Linked DNA regions of Styela clava. The protein of the gene in region 2 interacts with the protein of the main gene of each other region in a pairwise test. Links are inferred from orthologs where the notes say so. Each region holds a gene or a part of one and is shown on either strand. Other genes may lie near its edges.

Region 1 (8,209 bases), on a different chromosome or scaffold from region 2:
CCAAGTAATATCTAAATTATGATACAAAATGCAAAATAAAAAAAGGGCCCAGATTGTTTTATTGAAGTTTTTTTGCAATTTGTAAAAATCTAATAAAATGAGTAATGTTAGGGTTACGGCATTCAGGTTAGTTGAGAAAATTTAGATTTCAATTTTTACTAAACCACATTTTAGACACACTAAACGCCATAACCAATATATAAATTTCAAACCGCTTAAATCTCAAGAATAAACTTGTATCGCATTGATTACAGTCAATGAAATCAGTATAATCTACTCATCTTTTTGATGTCGTCATTTGTGTTTTACAAAAATAAGTTTTTGTACATGCGTTTTGATTGAACGTCATTTTTATGCTGGGAGTGTACCTATTTCAAGGTTGACCTATTTTCAAGGTTGAAAAAAGACAATGAAACAGGCAGAATCAGCTAATTTTGAGTTCACCATGCTCATTTCACAAAGCAAGATAATTCAAATAAATGTCACATTGCGAAAAACTGCAAGCATTTTAACCACCATATTTTACAGACCATAAGGTGCACCGAATTATAGTGAGCACTCACAATAAATGCGGCGCGGCGGTGTGGCTCAACGGGCTAAGCGTTAGGAATACGCTCGCCACCGCACCTCTAATTACTCTGCGTGGGTTCACAGGTTCGAATCCCATGCAGGGATGATTATGTGCGAGAGGATTGCTGGACTCCTCGCCGTCGTTGGGTGGTTCACTGACCGCTGTTCGGTTACGGCTTCCTCTACCACCAAGTCCATGCTTCCGAAAACAAACAGTATAACTAATCCCATACCTGACTTGGAATGGTAACCGGACGAGAGGCCGTGGTTCGCCAATGGATAAGCCATCTTATCGACTTTCCTCTCCCCCGGGATAAATATGTAAATCCTATCCTATTCTATCCTAAATTACTCAGGTTTTTTCATACATAAGGCACACTGTGCATAAGACGCAACCATTACAAGTACTATCTAGTTTTGAGTGTACGCAATAAAGTACTACCTGTTCCATATATTATGCGCACGATCGATTTTGAAGAAAAAAAAGGTGCCATATGGTCCGTAAAATACGGTAGAATGAATTGGGATTGATAGGATTCCAATTGGTGAATCACCAATGCCTAACCTGTTTAATGGTGATAGCAGGTCTCCAATCCTTTTCTTCATCCAGAATAGAAAGACAAACAGTACCAGATGGATAAACATTGGGGTGGAACAAGGGAGGTTCAAACTTGCATTTAGGTGGTGAAGAAGGATAATCATCTTTGAATATAATTTTCAGCTTGTATAAACCACCTTCCCACGCAGTCTATGGATATAAAAAATGTTAATGTTACTTCACACTACGATGTCAGGAAATACATTATTACCATTACATGAAAAAAACCACTTGTCACAATCATATAACATCCTACACAATTTCTTCGAGACAAGAATATTCTAACAAAGCAATAGTACAATGGAAATGCATCAAAACTTGCATTTATTGTATTCACTTAAATTTCATGTGTTGCTTCGCTTGCGTAGTTCAACGCGACCATTTTCATAGTCAATAAAGATATAGTGGTATTAAGGTTTCAACAAGTTATTCAATATAGATTCGCATACTGCCCCTTGCTTTGTTGGTACAATCACTCAATACAATACTGATACAGCTTAAATAATTATTAAATATAACATCTCAATGCCAAAAACATTGTCCAGTAGCCAATGGCTTGAATATGCAATGATAACTTACCCCAGCCTTTCCAGGAATTGCTGAAAAATAATAAAATAGATTGAAAAATTTTTTTTATTGGGTAGAAAATGGAACAAGATGATTTTTAAAAGATAAGAGAAAGAGATTTTATTCCCACAAAACAATGTTAAAAAAGAACAATAGTATCCGATTTTTTTGTATAGAAATACAGTGCTGTGAATACTTGAACATTGAATTGTGTTGGTTAGTATGCAACAAGACCTTTACAGGTCACTGAGACTCCTGACCATTTTATTTACTCTGTGATCAAACTGTCAGTATGGATTATCACAATATGAAATTATAAAATAAAGACAGAAAATGAGTCGGCTGATAAATAATTATTTATTTTTTCTACTAGCCGACACTTTACATCAGATTTATTGTATAGTTCAGAGGGCATGTGTAAAATTGTGTATATATTATATTACACTTTGATCAAGTACAATACTGATCCCATCCACAGAACCTGGTTCCGTGTAGATTCATTATTTTGTCAACCAAAATACAAACAGTCATAAATACAAATGAAATGTAACATAAATGAAAATTGCTTTGATAAGACAACTACGACTTACCAATAAGGTAATATAACCAAGCAGTTACTAATTCCAAGTAGAACATGATATTTATGACAATTTTGAACTAAAATTTCAGGTTATGATATCTGAAACAATATCTCACCACAATCCCATGTCATCAAATTGAATGTTCCATCTGGATTCTTCACTGGTCTTGCCACAAAACCCTATATAAGAGAAAAATTTGAACCCAGCAAAAAAACATTTCTTTCTCACATATTTTTGGACATGTTCATGGTTTATTTATATTAATATTTGAGTTATTGATTCATTAATCTTACATTCATACATACAATAACGCTAAATGCCCTATCAATCCCAGCCCTCATATCGTAATGCTAATCAGAAATTGAATAAGTGAAATTTCTCTTTCACAAACGAGAAATAAGTCTAATGTAGGCCTACTAAGTATAAGCGATTTCTGAGAATATTAGCTTTAAATAACCAGAACATGATTACAAAAATGAATTGTCAGATTGCATTTCAAAATATACAATAATTCTCACAAAAGGGTGGTCTTTTCTCCATGCCTTTCTTTCTTCTGACAATCTAGAGGGGGCAATTCCAGACATCGGTAAGGTGGATTATAGGACTCAAGCAATAAACAAATAGCAGAGTTAGGTGGAAGTTTTTTATTGAAATTCACGCTGAGAACACTCCAGTCTAACCTCGATTGGCATACGTCATGTAAGCAGACTACTCAATCCGCAAAAAAGTCTTTGCAGTGCAGCAGTATACCGTATATTATTTAACTGTTAGTTAGGTAAAATGAAGTCATGATAATATTAGCTGTTCATGAGATTAGATGACTTCTTTGAATAAAACAAAAATAGGACTGAAAAATGAACACTGTAATTCAGTCATCGGTTTTCTGATTTTAATCAAGGCAAATATACTCTACTTAATATTCATCAGACATTTTCTTTTTCTGCACACTTTTATATTACACTATCCAGCTATCAGCAGCAGTCTGTCCATTTGCATTTTTATGTTACCTATATTCACGTATTACTACTACCGGTATATCTGTATATTATACTTGGGGAGGAAAATAATCAAAATGTAATGAAATGTTTATGTAAAATCTAAGTGATCTGCTTAATCTATATCAGTCATGAAATCATTGTGCACTGAAGTAACACAATACTGCAATAGGTAACAGAATAAATTTCTCAGTCAATTATGGGAGATAACTTCAAATACATAGTCTACTACCAGTATGTTCCTCATGCACAACAAATTGCCATCAAAAGTGATTTTCTGAAAAAATTGTGATTTCTCTAATTGATTTATATTGCCACTGATACAAGAGGCAGAATAAAAATGTCAACAATAAGTATTTTTCTGTTTTGGTTCTACCACATAGGCTATATTTTTTATTTAGAATTGTTATCTTTGGTTTTAAGATAGGATTTACATTTTTATCCTGGTGGAGAAGAAAGTCGAAGAGACGGCTTAATCATACACCCGCATGCAGGCATGAGATTCGAACCTACGAAGGGCACCGTAATCACAGGCGCAGTGACGAGCGTATTCGTACTTCGTAGCGCTTAGAACGATGGGCCCCACCGCCAAGCCAGGTTTCATTCGCTCTCCTGATTCTGTGGCCAGTTTTTATTTGTTACTGTCAGAATAAATTACAGGTAGACTATACCTCTGTGAAGCTAGCAGCAAAACACGAAATTGTGACTGACAGAATCGCAGAAAATACCCACGCGTAAAATTAAATGTTCCCAATGATTTTTAAAAGAAAGTGTATATTTTGATTAGTTTCACAATAGCAATTAAGGCAAAACAATCATTAACTACACTCCTCGTATTGTTAATATATAGTAAACAAGCTAAAGCGACTGTTACAGTGCACACAATTTTTTTATAATTTTTTGAGAGATATTTAAAAATGACTGAATTTTCGTCGTGTAACATGGTCGTTTCATGAAAACCTCCAATAAAGGCAGCATTGCAACACCATTGGTGAAAAGTAGAAACCTCAAAGATTCGATTTCATTATGTCAGAACAGTCTCAGCACGTTTTGACTTGATCATATATAATACTAAACATAGCGTATATTCTTCTTGATCAGAATTTTCAATTTTCATATTTACCTTGTAAGTGAACACTATATGCACGTGGAACCTATATTCAATGTGTAAAAATATTCTGGCTGAAAGTGCTGCTAGCTTCACAGTGGTGTAGACTATACCTGTATACTGTACCGGTACGGTATTTTATCAATTAACGTTAGTACTTTTTCAATGCTTGTATGCCGCTCACAGTTTATGGAGACGGAACATACCGGTGTGAAGAAATATCAGACAGAATTCAGGAAATTTGGAGGAGATATAATTCAACATATTCATCCTGAGGAAGCAAGTGCAGTTTTAAGTATTCTGTGGCGTCTGTAGCTGCCGCAAAACCATGGCGGTATTTCTATTCCATGGCCGCTATGGCCAATCCTATCATGGTTAACTGATTAACCATGAACCTATGATGACGACTGACTTTTAAGCTGCCACAAACCAATGACGAGCTGCCGTTACCGCGGCAGCAAATCGAAAACCAATGGCAGGTAAAATTTTGCTGTCGTAACCACGATAGGTGGGCCGTAAAGACAGAGCTGTCCCTTATGATGACAAGGATTGGGTAAGTTGGAACGTTTTTCTTATGGATACAGTTTTGATGTATTTGGGGTTAGGGTTTAAGTAGATATAATTCCGCATGATCAATCAAAATCTGGTGCATGAATTTGTGAATATACAGTTAATACTGATTACTGAATAGCGCTATAAAACCGTGGCAAGAGATGCCGCGGTTCGTTCGTGGCAGGAGCTGCCATGAAGTGGTAACAACTGTGCCTCTGAGGAAGAGTATATAAGTATAATAATATAAGTATATTTTGATTTTCCCGCAAAAAAATCATACACCAAACACAAACAATGAACACACAGAAGATTGGGTTGGGAAAATCGGGGAAACTGGCAAAACCTTTATAAAGGTTTAATACATGCGTCAGTTTACCCACATTCAACACAAAAACATATATTCAAAATAAAAAAGACAAAGACACGAACGGGTATCATTCATTGTGGTGTATCATTCGGGCGTCAAACTTGTGTAACATAAACACTCGGTGGGTCCCAACAATGACATTAAACAACATGATGCGCAACTCCGGCATTTTTGTCCGAAGATCGTATTCGATAGCACGCTCCAATGCACATACTTGACGAGACGAAAACGAGCGGATGTGTGCTGCTTTCAAGGCGTAGCACGAATGGTGTTCGTGCCTGCTTTGACAGTTGTTGTCGATTTTAATGATATTTTTGAAAGTTGGGGTAAAAAGAAATCGGTAAAAAGTAAGGTGAATACTATTGTTGTATATCACACCCACTATTCGTCTAATCTCAATTTCCTATTATTTATTCACAGGACAACTATAGCAGACGGGGAGATATCAGAAGTCTGGCGACATATCAGTGACAGTGTGATTCCAAGAAATATAATGCAATTGAAAATAGAAAATTGCAATAGAAAAACAACCTATGGAGACATGCAAAGACATTTGACCCTCCGGTAGAGTTGTGTATGGCCCCCACATCCTGCAGGGCTTGAGGAAATTAACTAAAAATTCCAAAGCGTAAGATTGCATAAGCGGTCTTATTTGTAAAAAGGCACAAAACACGCCAGACATACTTAAAACAGCTTTGGTAATGAGGATTACGGGTACCTCACTGCACCTGTGTTATATTTGGTTCATCAACTTTTGGTAGTACTATAGAAGAAATTCCGGAAGGGGTATAATCATCATTCATGATAAAATACTATCATATATTTTTTGAACAACGTCAATCTAGACCAGGGATCTCAAACTCGCGGCCCCAGAGAACTTCCAGTGCGGCCCTCGAACGCTTAACAATAATTGTAATAGTATTTTGGAAGTTTTTTTTTTATCTAAATGTAATAGATTTTTCAAACCTTCTAAAGTGAAATTGATTATTCACACAGAAAACAATTTACTGAAAGTAGTTTTGGAATATTAATTTTTTTTGTCCACATTTTGACCCAATTAAGAATACACATCAAGCTAGCAAAAGAATACTTGAATAAAACACTTGAGTAATTAAATTAAACGCAAAGTACACGAAGAAGGTGGCATTTTCGAAGAAAATGGGAGTTGTCACATTTCTGCTCTTCACAAAATTCTGAAGCACATTGTTTAATTTGTCATATTTCCATCAATACAATCAAAAAACACAATAAGCTCAGCAGTCAATATGACAAATTCGAAGACCAACTTCGAACAGAAAATTTCCATGTGTTTGTATATTAATATAATTATACAACGACTTAGTTACTAAAAATCAATATCAATAATAATTCAAGCAATCCTATGCCACGCAATGTAGTGCAAAATGTCTTGTCGAAAAAATCTGTCATTTGTTTTTTTACTGATCTATACATGAAATGATAAAAGTAACTTTTTTGCATTACTGGAATTAATTAAACATTCGTAAAGATCCAGATAAACCCATGATCATGTGGCCTCGTTAGTTAGAGTTGGTACTATAAAATCATTTCAGACTGGCCTTAGTATGCTGGTGACACAAAAAAGATGCCAAACGCCAGGACGAATGTAATTATTAAAACATTGAGTTTATACTGTAGTATTTTTGTTAATTTTAGGTTCATATATTTAGATTAAGTTATTTTTAGTGTATGTATTATTCTTTCCTTATTCAAAGCTTGTTCAAAAATGATTTTGATGGTTGTACATAGAATTTTACGATTTTTTATAATAAATACTGTAACTTGCAAATGTTGCAATAATAGTGGAATGCAAATATTAATATGTAATTGCATTTGAAATTGAAGAAAATATTAAAACTTAATCCAACTGTTTAGTTGCATCACAATATATGTCACAAACTAAAACTATCTTAAAAATATCTTTTAAGTATACATTATCAAAAACTGTTTGCGGCTCTTTTTACAATTTTTAAAATGCAATGCGGCTCTCGAAAACCCATGAGTTTGACACCACTGATCTATTCTAGACGATTCAAGCATTGCTTTGGGAAATTATATCACTTCAATTAAATTGAAATAATCTCGCTATATTAAATACAAAATCGTTGCTATCATAAAGGTAAACCAATTCAGCCACTCGAAATATATTGGCCTTCACAAAGCAATGGAGGCAAAATTGAGAGTTCATGAGCTATGAACATTTGTTCTTTTCTTTGTCTTGAACTTTCCATACTCCACAGCCCCTATTAATTTTTTTTAATTTTAATTACCATGTGATGGTCATACATATCTTTAACTTGTATTTTCTGTCATGATGTATTATCTCAATGTGCCAAACTATTAATTTGTGTGCATATTTTGCTTCCAGATGACATAAATGTATTGTCATGTTTATTACCTCAGCTTGGAGTATTGACAAGAAAAAGGTGCCAGTAAATTAGGTAAAAAAATTTTCAACTCATTGTTATAATCAGAATTCACAATCAATAGGAATTATAAACAGCCAACAATCAGTGAGAATTATATGCGAAATCCCTCAGAATAAATTTGTCTAAAATCGGAGGAAGGCAAAAAATATAGGTAGTTTCCATTCACACAAGCATTTCAAGAAGACTTGCTCGAGCCAAACTAAATGAGCATCGTCAGGTGATCGGTAAGGCTGCAAGTTGAATTCAGCCCTGCAACCTCCTGCATAGAAGATAATATTAATTAGTGGGCTATGAGCTAAATTCCTAAATTTAAACAAACCTATCTACGATGCATTATGTACCAGCAATGTTACCTACGATTAACTGAATATGTAATATGTCTAATAAATTCACCTACAAAAGCAAGTTCGATAGGTGCAAACTT
Region 2 (8,232 bases):
AATTGGAAATTCTGAAACCACCCCTTCTAAAAATACCTGTTAATAGAGATGATAGCTAAGCAGTTGTTAATTGTTCCTTCTGCATGGTAAAGTATGAAGTATTATTAGCCGACCAACATTGTGTGCAACTCTCATGATACTAACCTGTCAATCCACTCCACTTAGTAGGCTTATTCAGAGTGTAATTCTAACAGATGTTATGCTTATCGCTAGGACTAGCCAACGTACAATACCATTAGGGAAAAAGCATAATAAAAATCACTGCATAGTCTCCAGTACAATGGTAACAGGTATACAAAAATGAGGAAGACTATTTGGATTAAAACACAGAATTCTTTTCAGCCAAATTTTATTGGAATATGATTATGAAAGTAGCATTAGTTATATTATTATTAATTATAAATATAGTATGATCCTAAAATAATGGTGACATTCAGTTAAGCATGGAGTTGACAATCTGTGGTAAACAATATTCACAACTTATAGACAGTATAATACAGGGTGTGCAACATTTTTCAGTGGGCCATATAACCAACATCAGACATCTAGCTTTTCCATGTATCCTATACAACCAAAAAAAATTATCACAATACAATATTTAACGCAGCCACAAAAAACATGTATTTTTACCCATGTGATCAAATTTTTAAACAAACCGTCTGATTAGGATTTTATGTTTAATGAGTATATTTCATTGTTGACAAGTGCCACACTAAATGGCTTGGCTAAATGGGCCACCTGTTGCATACCCTGGTATAAAACATTCCACCAAGGCGGGTCAGTTAAATTTGCCTAGAGGGCCGACCTTGATAAGATATTCCTGTTATATAGTGAACATCTCTTGTGCAATATTATTTTAAAGAACGTTACTGACTAACAAAAGAAGTTAATAAAATGTAGATTGAAAACTATACATATTAAATTATCTCCATGTGAATACATAGGCTAATAATAATGAATTTCTCATCCTAGTGGGAAGCCATTATCAAACCAGGCATGATACAATAAATATATCACATAAAATATACCATATAATACATTGATTAATTCAATTGACTGTATATACAATCCTTTTAATTCAAAGAGACAATTACATTGGCAGACTAGCATAAGCACAGTGCTTTATGACATGATAATAATATTAAAAACAAAAATATGTACAAATAATAAAATGGCTTCAGCTTTGCTTCGTTAGAATTATTTCCACATTAGGGTATCTTCGTATTATAGTTAAGAGCAGAAAGTAAAAATAATAATAATTTCTAGGTAATCACATAAGTAGAAATTTTCTAACACAAATATAACTGTGTTGATAAGCATAATGAACAGATAAGGCATCATTGGCATTGGTTTAATACAAGATTCAATCCACCTTTGTATGACCGTTTTTGTGATACCCATTACTAATACCATTTTTCGATGTTTTGCTGTTATTAAACGTGGTTACAGTAGAAGATTTTATTCTAAAAATATCCGAATACATTAAACTGCCAGCGAAAACGAATGATGTCCCTATCCAATGATAAAAAGTAAAATCATTCTGAAAATACAGCACTGAAAACAGCAACGATATGAACTTACGTAGGGTTATCAGCAGCGTAACCGTTAGCGAAGTGCATTCAGTAACGAGATAAAATACGGAACGAATGCAAAAGTATTGCGTCACAACATTGATGATGACGTATTGCCACAAAATTGGAATTTCTAAATTCATTTGAAAAGATAAAACTGACTCTGAAACAGTGTTCAGAAAGTTTGTAAAAAATGGCACCGGCTCAAGAGGTGATTGATTGAATATTTCTAAATTCCGCGCAATGCTTGGTACGAGTAGCAGGAAGAATGGTAACGGTAGAGCATGCTGTGAAAATAATTTATTTTCTGTTAATAAAACATAATGAAGATAGCAGTAATACAATATATATACATGATCTCTCTTTTATTTTAGTATTTATCATGGAAAAATACGAGTCTCATTTCAAAATGTGCAAGAGATCAATACTCAAATAAATACACATTGTTGCACATCAGTACCGGTACTTTAGGGCTTGAGATCACAGAGTTTGCTGAAAAGATCCGCGGTCAAACTTATGGAGGAAGTCAAACAAAGCAGAGTGAAACAGCAAAAAAAAAGTAAAAGCCTTCAAGCAATTTCTTTCATTATTATTAAATATAGAAAATGTGGTAAAGGCATTTTTGTCCCCAGCAACAACAATAATTTAGCAAACAATCCATATGTAGACTTCTGAGAATAACGAACAGTGGTGTTCCATATATTGTCAAAGGTCAAATAAGTTGGTGAACTCAAACTAGGCATGTTTGTTTCTTAGGAATTATGATAAAAAAATATCCATCAGATATTGGCACCTACGTTCATTATTTGACCGACCTCATTATTAATTAAGATTATGTCCAACAACTATTAATCAATAACTCAGTAATCGTATCACTTACATTGTAAAACAAAGTTTCTCTTGGATGTTTCCCATATTTGATTGCGATACTTTCTTGATAAATTCCCATTCCAGCAGATACAATGAGTGAAATTGTCAAAAATATGACTCCAATTAATGTAGAAGCATCAGTTGAATGACTAGACATTGTGGTGGCCTTTGAAACACTCTTAGATATAATGTCAACATTAGCAATACTTATAAAGATATGAAATTTATGTTTAGTATATAAAAAATCATATTTCAAATTGATGTACCGGAAATCCAATGATTGTCAATCATTTTGTCGGCTACACACTTCATTCAGTTATAGAAAACTTTATTTTAAAATTTGAATTTCCATTAAACTTGAAAATAGCCAATACGTATCTCAAATTATGGTAATGAAGAAATCAAAATAACAAAATAAAATCATAGCGTACAGATAACGTAATTACAAAAATGATACACGCTACATACAACTAGGTAGGCTATATTCGTAGCAAAAAAAGAGAGAAATACTCAATATTTGGGACAGTATTGAGGTCTGTGTAGGATTCATGAAAATGTCAAAAAAAGTATGGTGATAGCCATCTTAAAGTGTTGAAAATTTAAAATATCGATTGGTCTGCTAGAATCAGAGACAAACAACTACATTGAGTAAAACAATTTATAGGCCGGGCCTCGTACATGTCCAAGTCCAATAATCCAAAAAAGAGCTGCAGTTGGTCAATGCTAATTATAGTCGAGCAATATTATTCAAGCATTCAATCTTCATAAACATAACTTACTGTAACATAAGTGCAAATCAATATACCCAGTGACACAAATGCAACTGAAAGGTATTTTTGAGATGAGTACGACCTCTTCAATAAGAAAGCACCAAGAAACATGTTCGCTACAAGAGAACCCTGAGAGAAAAAAAATATAAAAAATTGTATAGACTGTCCATATAGTGGATGGAGCCATAACTGACCAGACGTTTCAATAATCGCTTTTTAATGGAAGGAACTTCATAAATCTATGTATGTATATGTTCGTGCCTAAGAATTAGAAACTTATCTTTTAGCAACTTAGAAACTTTATGGGCGGTAATGTAAATATGATGCACACTACTCGCTTGATAACAATAGAAAGAATAATAATTATCATATTTGTTATACTTACAGATTTAAAAATCATATGAAGAGGCATTGGTATATTGAAACCTAATGCCATATTATTAGTAGCACTGGCTGTGAAGAACAGTAGAACCATGACAACATAGTTTCTAAATATAAGACAAATTGAATTATTTTCTGTTACAATTAAAATTTGTTTTTTTGGGGTGCTTCTATATACAGATATATGTCTCTGGATAAGACTGTGATCAAGTAGTATGAAGCCATTAAAGTTTAAAAAAATGCTTGTAAAATTACATTTTATATAGGAGGCAATTACTTGAGACTTTTTTCTTGTTTTGAGAATATACACCATATAAGTAAAATCATGACGACAAAGTAGAGTTTAGCTATAACTTTTTTTTTTTATCGATAGGCCTATTTGATTCTGTCTTTCTTTACTTTGCACAATAAGAAAAGCAAAAAAGCCACATACTTTAAAGGAACATGTCTAGTTTCCCATCCGAACTTCCGATTAGCAATAAAACCTTCTATAGCAATAAAGGAAAATTGAAGAAAAAGCAGGATATTTCCACTATCAGGTGAAGCTCTGAAAAATGAAAGTTAAATTTCAGTGAATTCTTATTTAAATAAAATACAAAGTTTGAGTTAAAAGCTGTGTAACTTAGCCAGATAACACAAAGGGAAATCAAAGCTCTGGCTGCTTTAGCACAGAAAGATGTGATATATATAAAAGTATGCCATAGGCAATGTTACAGAAAAGAAAGATTAGACCAAACTATAAAACTTCAAACAGTAAGTACAAACAGAATACTACAATCATAAATACAGATTCATCCAAGCATAAAATTCACCATACTGCCATACCTGCATACCGGTACACAATATCAAAATTCAATAACTCTAGCCAAAAAAGTTATACACTCACTTTATCAGGTGTTCAAGAAAAATTACATTTGTACAACACGAGGCAAGAAGAACTCCAACGGCAAAATACATTTCGAACATGACGAGTGAAGAAGTGATAGGCTACAGTAATATAAAACGAAAGATATTCCGTGCTCCTAAATTTGTAACAATTAGCTATGTTTATATATGTTTTTATTATCAACTACATGCTGTTCTGCGAAGAAAAATACATTGTTATAGCTGTCTGAACGCTGGTACAATATAAAAATCTCGCGAAATACAACTGGACACGTAAACTTCCGGCGTCGAAACTCGTCTGAACAACGAGACGGTCTGGCACGAAATAATAAATATCGAAACTGTACGTCATAGTTCTTGATACTGGCATCCTCGGGGAAAATTTATTATGAATTACGTAAAAAAAGACGTTTTGTTGAAAACCGCCAATAAAAAAAATGATAAATATGTTATGTTGTTCATTATTATAATGTTTTATAAATATTTTATATAAAAGAAAAGTACTTCCCTACGGCGTTTGCTACATTACTTTTACAATACTCGAAATATCTCACAATTGTAAAAAAAAACTTACACATATGAACACCGTTTTTTTGTGTGACTATTTGGTCTGTCTATGTTAAATCAAACTAAAGGACTGTACAAGTTATATTTAAACGTTGTTTTTTCTTAAGTTTACGAAAAGTTTGGTCAAAATAATTGTTATGGTTCAGTGGATCTAAAGCGCGAGATTTGTTTTGGTAAATCGTCTCGTCTTATTTTAGTATTTCTGTATTCTGAGATATCGCAGGCGTCGTTCGCAAACCTTTATTTCAGTAAATATGGCAATGCAAGTACACGAACAACAGGAAGATGCCGAAGAAGAGGAGGTTATGGGCCCACTTCCCATCGCAAAATTAGAGGTAAGTTGAGTTAATTACCGTAAATCAAGAAATTTTCATATTGTTCTATTCGCAAATACTGGCAAGCCCTGAATTCGAGAGAAAAAAAACAGAAATAGGTTAAATAGCAAATTTAACAAGAAAATTAATGGCTTTTGACTTTTCAACTATTCTATATCAGAAATGTCGGAGAAAATCGTTTTTTAAAATCAATTCTTAAATTATGATTTTATCAATACTGCATTATCTGGATACCGGTAAAGGTACTTTATAAAATTAAAATAGGCCTATCATAAATTGAGATTACACAACCGCATACCACATTATGCAAAATCTATCTCTTTTAGCAATGTGGAATAAGTGCAAGTGATATAAGGAAACTTTCAGAAAATGGATACCATTCTGTGGAAGCACTTGCTTATGCTACGAAGAAGGAACTTGTTGGAGTAAAAGGAATAAGTGAAGCAAAAGCTGAGAAATTAACGGTAAAATTTATTAAAGGACATTGAAATTCTATTATGTGTCAAATATTTATGTGGAAATCACTCTGACGTTGAAAAAGTGAAAATTAAATAATATGACAACGATTTTATTTGTTTATTTTTATCAATAAGTCTATCATATAACATTACGGCACAGTTCTCTGATTTCAAGAATAGCTCCCACATTGAAAGACATTAAATATAAGAGTGAATGCAAACCCCTCTTTCATGAGACAGTCTGGGCCTCCATACTGGCACAAATTGGCAAACCGGTATTGTGCAATAAACCAGAAGGAAGCACAATCTTCAATCTATATCTAAAAAAAACACAATTTTGATCATGTGACATTGATTTAAATTATTATTGAAACAAGCATGGCGAATTCTGGCACATCTGTCGTCGATCAAGACACCCTTATTTCAGATTAACCAATTGTTAACCAATCAGCGAATTGTGCCCTACTGTATTCTACATGAAACATTACAAGATCTTCTTTGACCCTGATCATGAAATCTTTATATATTTTTTTAGCTTGAAGCAGCGAAATTAGTGCCGATGGGTTTTACAACTGCGACAGAATTTCATCAAAGGAGATCGGAAATAATCCAAGTTACTACAGGATCAAAAGAATTAGATAAGTTATTACAAGGTATATCAAAAAAACTTTTGTACAGAGATTTGTTCGACACGAAGTCGTGAGTCTCGTCTAAAAAGTGTTTCTTATTTTTAGGTGGAATTGAGACTGGATCGATAACAGAACTCTTCGGAGAATTCAGAACAGGAAAATCACAAATTTGTCACACAATTGCTGTTACATGCCAGGTCTGAATCTATATTGCGGAAACTTTTTTTTTTTAATGTCTTCTTTGAACTATAATAAGTTGTATTTTATTTAATAGTAATACACAATTCAACTAGCGTGAGTTTTTAGTACAGTTTTATTCCATTTTTCTCATTTTAGTCGCACTTTTATCTACCGTAACTAGGGCTGTCCAAAATCGAATAATTTTTTGATTCGAATCGAATATTTTCGCCGAATCGAACCGAATAATCGAATATTATTGCCCAATAGTAAATCTGTCTCTATTATACAATAAACGCCTGCCCTTCGATGTTGTGGTAACGTATGTGCAGTTACATCAAAGGAGATCACACGCTTGTATGAACTGGTCAAAAAAATTGGAGAACTCCAAAATTTGGGTCTCGAAAACTGTTGAGTGTTAAGAGTAAAAATTGCACTATTCAAAAATTGCAATCTCAATTTTGATGGATTCAGTTTTAGTAGGACATATAAAGCTTGTAGATGCTATTTTAATCCTATTCACTAGTCTTTATGTTTTTTTGTGTAAATTTCAGCAAAATAATAACAACCATCAATATAGATAAAACTGTTGCTCAAGTTCAAAATTGCATTTAAAAATTCCAAGCTAGTTTGATGACAATATTATTTGAGGACTATAATATTGTTAGTGTACAACAGCCATCAAAATGCAAGAGTGCAATTATTTGTCTTGGTATATAGATGGATAATACAGTAATGCCATCATGAGAAATTACAAATTCCATTTAAATAAGGTATTGCCATCATAAGGATCCCAAAACACCTGTTTCAGCTTTGAGTTGCCTGTACCATGTTCCTATGATAACTAACTCAACAGCTTCAAATCGATTCTATTTATAGAACTATCGTTTTCTAAATTGTCTCCTTTTTCTCCTTGTTCTCTCTCAAAAACGTCACGATCGACTATACCTTGTTATGATGACCACGCATGAAATGGCTAATCACGTGCCACCGGGCGGGCATTAGTAATGACATGTTTATCACAAAATGAAGGCGAGAAAAATATCGGGAAACCAATTAAGCAAGCCGGGAGCGAGAGTGGTCTGAGCTCGGATCGCCGCCGCTTGCCCGATGAAAAACATCCCGTAAAGGTGGTTTCCGCTTTATGTACCGGTACCTAATTTTAGCGATTCGAAAATTAGCCGAAAAACGATTCGAATAATTTGCGATTCGATTCTATTTCGAATATTTGGTTCGCTTGGACAGCCCTAACCGTAACAAATAAAAGTTACCTATTTCCATGTAACAAAAATTATTATAGAATAAGTTAGTGTATTCTAATTTTAAAAATGATAGCGAAAAATGCAGAATGTTGTTATACTTATACCCATCACAAGTTTTTCTCAGCTTTTTCTGAAGTCTGCTTTTGTCATATTCACCTAGTTTAACAATCCGTATACCCTTGCTGAATAAAGATCCAATTGTTTATCCAAAATATCGCTCCCCTCTCAACATGTAAAAGAATATTTTTGTTGAAGTTTTTTAATTTTTGGACATGAAGTTGACATATGGATTGCTTCATTGAGTCATTGTTGGCAACATGTTTTATT

What was found. The genes of interacting proteins can lie anywhere in the genome.
Region 1: the proteins of DNA repair protein RAD51 homolog A (region 2) and SUMO-conjugating enzyme UBC9-B-like interact in a two-hybrid assay, tested with the Caenorhabditis elegans proteins (2 studies listed by BioGRID). The link is inferred for Styela clava from reciprocal best matches to the Caenorhabditis elegans genes rad-51 and ubc-9.

What each region holds. Positions count from the first base shown.
Region 1 is NC_135259.1:1,891,265-1,899,473, forward strand, and holds the start of SUMO-conjugating enzyme UBC9-B-like, read right to left. Parts: upstream 3,103-8,209; 5' UTR 2,901-3,102; coding exon 2,835-2,900; intron 2,496-2,834; coding exon 2,432-2,495; intron 1,768-2,431; coding exon 1,748-1,767; intron 1,319-1,747; coding exon 1,136-1,318; intron 12-1,135; coding exon 1-11. UniProt on the Caenorhabditis elegans protein: Accepts the ubiquitin-like protein smo-1 from the aos-1-uba-2 E1 complex and catalyzes its covalent attachment to other proteins with the help of an E3 ligase such as gei-17.
Region 2 is NC_135264.1:10,477,947-10,486,178, reverse strand, and holds the start of DNA repair protein RAD51 homolog A, read left to right. Parts: upstream 1-5,174; 5' UTR 5,175-5,298; coding exon 5,299-5,379; intron 5,380-5,705; coding exon 5,706-5,843; intron 5,844-6,372; coding exon 6,373-6,490; intron 6,491-6,571; coding exon 6,572-6,663; intron 6,664-8,232. Other genes in the region: nucleotide sugar transporter SLC35B4-like, read right to left, coding at 1,364-1,858, 2,452-2,619, 3,221-3,340, 3,597-3,699, 4,026-4,139, 4,479-4,558.